Linked DNA regions of Mus musculus. The protein of the gene in region 1 interacts with the protein of each later gene in a biochemical or structural test. Links are inferred from orthologs where the notes say so. Each region holds a gene or a part of one and is shown on either strand. Other genes may lie near its edges. The genes, in order: Fzd7 and Dvl1.

Evidence for each region.
Region 2: the proteins of Fzd7 (region 1) and Dvl1 form a complex in vitro, tested with the Homo sapiens proteins (2 studies listed by BioGRID and IntAct, with this or other methods). The link is inferred for Mus musculus from reciprocal best matches to the Homo sapiens genes FZD7 and DVL1.

Annotation. Positions count from the first base shown.
Region 1 is NC_000067.6:59,480,522-59,485,038, reverse strand, and holds the start of Fzd7 (frizzled-7 precursor), read right to left. Parts: upstream 2,893-4,517; 5' UTR 2,080-2,892; coding exon 361-2,079; 3' UTR 1-360. UniProt on the Homo sapiens protein: Receptor for Wnt proteins.
Region 2 is NC_000070.6:155,850,126-155,853,926, reverse strand, and holds part of Dvl1 (segment polarity protein dishevelled homolog DVL-1), read right to left. Parts: intron 510-3,801; coding exon 440-509; intron 291-439; coding exon 169-290; intron 1-168. UniProt on the Homo sapiens protein: Participates in Wnt signaling by binding to the cytoplasmic C-terminus of frizzled family members and transducing the Wnt signal to down-stream effectors. Plays a role both in canonical and non-canonical Wnt signaling.

The DNA.
Region 1 (4,517 bases):
TCACAGCCCTGGCTCATCTCTGGCGCCTGAAAACCTCACCAGTCTCTCTCTCTGCTGGTCTCAACCTTTCCCTTAGGCCCTAGCCGGTCCATATCTTTCACAGTTAGCATCGTCCTGCAAGTCTTAGCCAGAAGTCTTTTCGGCCACTGCCTTTGCCTTTTTTCATCTGGGCCTCCTCTCAAAACCATCTCTCGCCCCAAATCTCTTCTCACCTCCAAATAACTTCTCACTTCCAGGTTAAAGCTCAGTGGAGGGGGCAGGTAGCTTACGGAAACAAGCCCCCACCCAGCAGTTCTCTCCCTACCATGCCTCTCCTCCTGTAAAAGGGTAGAAGAGGCAAGGGTGGGTAAGGACCGGGGCTCATACCGCAGTTTCCCCCTTGCTGCTGTGGCTGAGTCTGTGGTAGAAGCGACGCCATGACTGCAGGGTCTTGCCCGACCAGATCCAGAAGCCCGTAGTGATGCCCACGATCATGGTCATCAGGTACTTGATCATGAAGACTGTAAAGTCGGGGCTCATGGGAGAGAAGTGGCCCGGAGGGCAGGGCACAGCGTAGCTCTTGCAAGTCTGCAGGAGCCAGGTGCGTTCCCAGTGCTCTCGGAAGGCCTGCTCATAAAAGTAGCAGGCCAACACGATGGTGGCCGGCACCGTGTAGAGCACGCTGAAGACGCCGATGCGCACCATCAGCTTCTCCAGCTTCTCTGTCTTGGTGCCGTCGTGCTTCATGATGGTGCGGATGCGAAAGAGAGACACAAAGCCGGCCAACAGGAAGGACGTCCCGATGAAGAGGTAGACGAACAAGGGCGCCAGCACGAAGCCCCGCAATGCATCCACACTAGACAGGCCCACGTAGCACACTCCACTGAGTAGGTCACCATCCACCTGGCCCATGGCCAAAATGGTGATTGTCTTGACCGCTGGCACAGCCCACGCGGCCAGATGAAAGTACTGCGAGTTGGCCTCGATGGCCTCGTGGCCCCACTTCATGCCAGCTGCCAGGAACCAAGTGAGGGACAGAATGACCCACCAGATGGAGCTGGCCATACCGAAGAAGTAAAGCACCATGAAGAGGATGGTGCAGCCCTCCTTCTTGGTGCCCTGCGCCACCGTGCGGTAGCCATCGTCCGAGAAGCGCTCCACGCACACGGCACGGTCCTCTAGCAGGAAGCCTGCCACGTGCGCCACTGCCACCATGAAGTAGCAACCCGACAGGAAGATGATGGGTCGCTCTGGATAGCTGAAGCGACGCATGTCCACTAGGTAGGTGAGCACCGTGAAGAGCGTCGAGGCGCAGCACAGCACTGACCACACACCCACCCAGAGGCGGGCGAACCGTCTCTCCTCTTCTTTAAAGTACATGAGGCCGTTAGCACGGCCCGGCTCACACGGGGCACCGCAGTCACGCTCACCTAGGAAGCGGTAGCCCAGGTAGGGGGGCACCTTGAGCTGGCGCGGACACGAGAAGGGGAAAGACAAGCGGCCTCTGCCATCTGAGGGGGACATCGCAGTGAAAGGTGGGTCTGGCAGGTAGGGAGCAGTAGGGTAGGCGGTGGGACTGCCGCCCGCGCCCCCGGAGCCGTCGGACGTGTTCTGCCCCACGCAGATCTCGCCGGCACCGTGCACTGGGAAGTTCTCGCAGCGCAACCGCTCTGGCCACTGGAAGCCGAACTTGTTCATGAGCGCCTCGCAGCCCTGTCGGGCGCGCTCGCACAAGGAACGGCACGGAGGAATGGCTTGGTCGAGCACGGTGCACACGGGTGCGTACATAGAGCATAAGAAGAAGCGTAGCTCAGGAGAACACTGCACCTTTACCAGAGGGTAGAACTGGTGCACCTCGAGGCCCGCGTCCTCTTGGTTCGTGTGGCCCAGCAGGTTGGGCAGGATGGTCTGGTTGTAGGCGATATCCGTGCACAACGGGATGGAGATGGGCTGGCAGAAGCCGTGGTCCGGTACCGAGATGCCTTTCTCGCCGTGATATGGCTGAGCCCGGGTGTCCGTGGGCAGCGCGCCCAGAAGAGCAAGCACCAGGGCGCAGAGGCCCAGGGGCGAGTGCGACGCCGCCGTGCCGGGGCCCCGCATCGCCGGTCGCGAGTGCAGCGGCGTTCTCAGCTGGAGGAAAAAGACGAGGCGCTGGGGAGAGGCTTGGATACAGGGAGGCGCCGCCGCGCCCGGCGCATGAGAGTCCTCCCGGCGCCGGGGCCGGGCCGTGGGCGGCGCGGAGCCGAGGGTGCTAGGGTGCCTGCACAGCGGGGGCGAGGCCGCCAGCCGAGGGGGCGCCGCAGCCGCCTCCGCGTGGCACTCACGCAGCCGCCGGAGGTTCAAACTCCTGGGCCTGGAGTGGGGGATCGAGGGAAGGGGTGTCGCCTTACCCTCCCCGCCGAGACGTAACGGTGCGGCTTTCTCTGCGGCGACGAGCAACAAGCTTCTCCGGTTACCCTTCAAAGTTTGCCCAAGTTTCTCGAGCCCCGGGCGCACGCCGATACGCACGTCCCCTAAACCGAGCCAGGCCTCCGCCAGGCCAGCGCCCTGCGTCCCTGCCTGCTCGCCCCGGCCGTCGCCTCGGTGGTGCTGCTCCGCCTTCTCTCCTTGAGGCCCCGCGGGCCACTGCAGCCGCCTCTTCTGATTCTGGAGCCTCCTTCAGTCCTAGGAAGGTCGGCCCCAAGTTTCAAGTCAAATGGCTCGTTCTCGCTTTGAGTCTGATCGGTGCTCGGGAGGTAAGAGCTGGACAAGCTGGTTTTGGAAACGGAGTTGCACGGAATCCGAAGCGCCGAGGCCCCTGCACCCGCGGCCTGCCTGCACCCGGCCTCTCCTGCCCCGCGCAGTCCCAGCCCGCGACTCTCCGCGTCCAGCACCGCCCGCCAGGGAAGGAGCGCGGAGTAACGCCTGGGAGCCGCACTGGTGGCTAGAAGAAGCGTCGGGCTTGCAGGGCTGCGGGCCGCCCCGCCCCCTCCCCTCCCCCCATTCACAAACCACTCCGGGGGCGGGCCCCGAGCCCTCTGGACATCCAATAGCGCGCTTTGTTTTCTCTGTGGACCTGTTCCGATTGGGTGGAAGTCGGAAGGGGCGGCCGAGGAAACAAGGAAGGCGGTGCTTAAAGAGCTCTGGGCGGATTCCTGAGGGGAGGGGCGGGGGACTGAGAGAAAAGTTAGGAAAAACTTTTACCCAGAATTTGCTCAAGGGAGAAAAAAACGCACCAGAAAGGGAACTTGCCTGTAAGATTGGTTCCTCTTCCGGGTACCCTAAAATACACATTTCCGAACAAAAGGGGGCATTCGCCGAAGGCTTTGGGGAGAAGCTGAGAATAGTACAGCACCAGGGCAGAAAGACGTGACCCGGAGTCACGTTAGCCTTGCCTGGCAGGCGAGGGCGGGAGAATTTTGGTTAGCATCAGTATGAGTCGAGAAAGGGGTGCGACTAAGAATCGTTTTTTCTTCCCCTACCCCAACCGACCACGTGAAGGCACAATTCCCTCTCCCTCCCCCAGTTACAAAAAAGGGGGGCATCCTGGAGGGAGAAACCCGAGTCGGCCGAGGGGCGGACTTGTGGCGGGAGGAAGTGCAGACCCTCGGAGGAGAAGGCCCAGAGCTGGGGATCCGCTGCACACACGAGCCTGCCACCCCTCCCGGACATACTGCTGGGAGCCTGGGGAGCCCAAGAGGCTCTTTTTTTTTTTTTTTTTTTTTTTTAACTCCAAGGCAGCTCTGGGGGAATGCTTATGAAAGTAACCTGAGACCGAGGGCCTCGGAACTCTGTACGATTTACAGAGCGCCTTCGGTTGCCCCGTTTTCCTTTTTTTTTTCTGAGGTGTGTGGCCTTCAGGGACCCCTTCTTCGTTGCAGAAGCAACCATTTGATCTTTCCATTTGGAATCTACATAGAAATGTTTTAACGCGCGTTAGAAAGCAGGGCATTTGCTAATTAAAGGGCTTTCGAGACACAAAGAGGGGTTATTTTCCTTGTGGGGTAGCATTTTCTGATTGGCAAGCTTTCTTTTGTTCTTGGTCAAATCTTAACCCCGCTCCAGGCACTGGGCGCTCGTGCGCGTTGTCTGATTGCCCCGACCGGTCAGAAGTTACTAAGGGGCCTCTGCCCTCTCACAGGAGCCAGCAAGAAATATCATGAATACTATGAATTCCCATGCAGGAAAGTGACAAGTTGAATCGTTGAATCTGTCTCTGCAATCATTTTAAACGTTTTTTTCCTGGCTGAGTCCTTCTGCCTGTCTCACTTGGGTGCTGGGGTTTGAGGAGATTTTGAATAGGTCGAATGTTGAATGCCGGCAGAAGTAACTCCCTCTGGTATACAGTTTCTCCATCTAGGAAAAGGTTGATTCTGAAATCTAAGACAGTTAATTAATTGGATTCCCTTTTCTCGATGACCTGGGCTCCTTTTAATTCTTTTATTTACTTTACCTCAGAGGTTCATTGAGCCCCTTCCTTCCACTTTAGAGTTCTTCATCTTTTGTGCTCCTGTTAATGTTTCTGAAGAGCCCAGCTCCATGGAACAAGGTGGTGTCAG
Region 2 (3,801 bases), on another chromosome or scaffold:
CTCAAATGATTCCAGGTCCCCAAACCCCCAGGCAGGACCCTAGTTCTAGAAGGTGCCTCCCACACAACTGTAGGCCCCTGCTATGTTGTCAGCTTCACTCTTCCCAGGTGGGTCTTGGGTAGCAAGTATCTAGCAATGGCAGAGCTCTGCCCCCGCAAGGGGCCTTACTGGAAGGAGGGGGGCCTGGAGTCCCCAATGCCGCCTGTCCTCTCAAGGGGTGGGGGCAGGTCCGTGTGGCTGTCAGTGCCCTGGGACCCTGCATCCGAGTGAGCGCCCTCAGCCAGGACCAGCTGTGAAGGAAGAGTGAGGCCTTGGATGGCCATCTGCGTCAAGACCACCCCCACAGGCACCCCACTGCTGCCTACCTTTGTCCAGTTACTTTACGTCTCCCAGGGAGAGCCCACCTTCACCATTCTGCTGGGGCCACCCATAGACTCACCCAGGAAACCACCCGGCCATTGAAGCAGGGCAACTTGGCATTGTCATCGAAGATCTCCTCCTTCACCACCCTGTGGTCAAACAAAGCCCTATGTCACCTCACCTGGATCCATGAAGGACATTAAGAGACACTTTCTACTCTTGGACGTAGCAATGGAGCACCTGCTAGGCTGCAGATGTCACCACTGAGGTTTTACCTACCACATTCTCTTCTTAGGGACTCTGCTGCTCTCCGCCAATCCCAAAGCCCTGACCCTTAGCACTGGGGTAGAGAAATGTAGATAAATGTTCATGGAAGGACATCCTAGAACTCTTGTTCACGTCCAGAGTCAGCCTCCAGCCCTTGGTGAGTCAGACAAGGTTGAGGGTTCCTGGGAAAGTCCCCAGTTCTTCGGCTTCCTTGGCCCTGGGGTTTATATCAGGCCTGTCTCTAGCTTTGTATGCTTCCTCATGGGGACCCAAAAGCTCCCTCACCACAATATACGACACTTGGGGCTCCTTTGGGAACTCTTCTCAGCCTTCAAATTTTAGGGAGAGCAGCTCTACCTAGCCAGGTGCTTGGGACAGCCTATGGCTCTTCTCTGCCCCTCACCCCAAATCCCACCATGTACCACAAAAGCTCCAATTCCAACTCGTTCCAGAAGGGAGCCTGGCCTCCTAGGCCTGCATTCAGATTGGGCTGCAGAGGAACCGCATTTTGTGCACTCTGCTTCCATCAGGCCCACTGCCTCCTGTCCTTGTCTTCCCAGCACACACCCTGGGCCTCTCTGGAGCACTCACGGGCGCTCGTTAATATGATGAGCATCTCATGGTGCTCCAAGCCCTTGGGCTCCTGAAGTTCCCCCAGCCCAGAGAAGGCTGGACTTCCTGGTACAAGGACTGCCAACCCCTTCTATAGATGTGAGAGGGCCAGAAGGATACCAGCTCTTGCTGCCCTCAAAACCATCTACCCAGCCAGAAAGATAAAGTGGATCTCATGTGCAAGATCAGTCCCAACTATCAGGGAGTTTGCTTGGCTTCTATCTGAGGACCTGGAAGGGCATTTAGGGACAGAGCTAGCCAAGCCTTGGCTGTACCTATTGACCACAGCCATCTCTGTTTTGTCTTCATGCTGCTTCCCTGGTCAGATGGGCTAGAAAGGAGCTAAGCTCACCCAAGCAAGATACAAAAGGCAGGGAATGAGAACTGGGAAGGAAGCCAGAGCCTGGGGGCAGTGTTCACAAGGCACGGACAGCAGTCAGGACAGGCTTGAAGGGGCTCCTCAGGCCCTAGATTCTCCACTCCCTCACCTTCACCCTAGCTCTTAGCTCCGCCTAACATAGTGGGATTTTCCATACCTAAAACTTGAATTGAGTGGAGCTGGAAAACCAGGCTGGTCCTGGAAGTGCACCTGGCAGGAAGCAGGCTTGTGACTTAATGGGCCCAGTGCCAGGGGCAGGGCCACCTCTGCTTGCTGCTCCAGAACCAGTGGGCAACACCAGGTTGCAGGAAGCTCTAGCAGGGCAACATCCCATCCTCTCTAGGGAATAAGGCCTTTGTCCACCCACTTGCTAGAGACCTGGGGCTGAGGTAATGGCAGAGGCTGGACAGCCTGAAAGTGAAAGTGTCCCAGCCGCTTTCCTGACCTTACTGCTGTGCCCATGGGACCCCAACAGCGAACAGAATCACTTCTCAGGACTCCCTTAATATCTATTTCTCCCAATTTCAAGTTACAGCTCTGTGGCTTGCTCCATTTACAAGCCTGGCCCAAGGTAGCCAACAAGAGAGTCTGTCATCACAGGAAGACCTGACGCTGCTAAAAGCCCTGAGTAATCTACCCAGAAAAGAACCCTCACCTTATCCCCTAGCCTCGACCCCAAGTGGACTCACCAAAAGCCTTTCCCATTGGCACACCCAAGCTCCAACCCTCCCTGACTCACCCATGGGGAAACATATGAGCAATTCCTAGCACCCACAATAGGGCCTGCCTGGCTCCTCCAACAGGCACTGTGTCCCATTCCCAGCAGCCAGAGCCTACTCAGTCAGACCCTTAAGGTAATATGGCCAGCTTGCGGTCTTTGTGCCTCCCAAACCCTAGAAAGACATACCTCTATGGTTCAAAGGCCCTGCTTCTTAGCAGGGAAAGGCCCTTCCTCCCAGCCAGAGCAACACAAGTCCTGCTTTCTACCTAGGGGTCAGAGCAAGAAGACTGGCCAAAGGGAAAGGACAGTCCTGAGAGGATGGTGTTTGCCCCAGATCCTAGGGCTAACCCTGGCCCTTCCCCACCATTGGCTAGGCAAAGGGCAAACATCACAATACCCATAGTGGAAGCAGGAATGGTGGCCACAGGTATGTGATGCTACCCACAGCTGCTGGGCACTGTATAACAAGAACAGAATGAGGCACAACCAAACATCCCTACCACCCTGAGCCTTGTATGTCTATCCTCTCAAGAGGAAAGCTGACCTTAATGTGTCTCCACTGACTCTGCACGGTGACTCAGGACACTCCTGTGAGCATTTTGCCCCAACCTTAGAATTCCTGGAGAGATCCTTGTGGCCATTGGACTCTACCAGCCACCCCCAGTGATCCACCTCAAGGAGAAATCTGCTCTAAAGTAAGGCCTTTGGAGCCCTGCATAGCTTAGCCTAAAAGGACCCAGGGTTTCAGGAGATTACAGTAACACACAGACTACCTCTCTAGTGGCCCAGCCCTGAGATAGCCCCATTCCCATACACACAGAGCCAGAGACTGGCAGAGCAAGTAGGCACAGGTCATGGAGATATCTTGAGCTTCAAGGGGCTTCTGTATGCTACCAGGAGTGAGCATCCAATTCCTACCAAGCATTGTTGTGGACTGGACTCTTAGCCTAAGGAGTTTTACTACCCATGAACTTGAACTGGCAGGTGTGCACAGGCCCCAGACCATAGCTGGCCACTCTTCTACCAACTCATCCCATGGGGCATTGAGCCCCAGAACATAGAGTCCTTCCCCACAGCTCAGGGAATGCATGATAATTACCTAGACTCTCATAATAAATACTAGGGAGGCACAGAAAGGCTAAGTCACTGACCCCAGGCAGCTTGACCAGGGCACAGGGAGCCCTCAGAACATTTGCCAATGTACAGAGGACCCCAGATTCCAGGGCTCCTAGCCCTTACCCTTGCCTGCTTCCCTCTAGCTCACGTAGCTCTTTCTCAAGAGATGGGGCTGCAGCAACTGCCAGGCAATAAACTCGGTATCGCATCAGGCAGGCTGATATCAGCAGTATGTTCCCAGTAGCAGGAACCAAAAGCCAATGTACTCAGTCCTCTACCATAGACCTCCATTATCACCAGGCCCAACACCAGACACCTCCATGGGGCCCACCAGAATCTAGAAGTC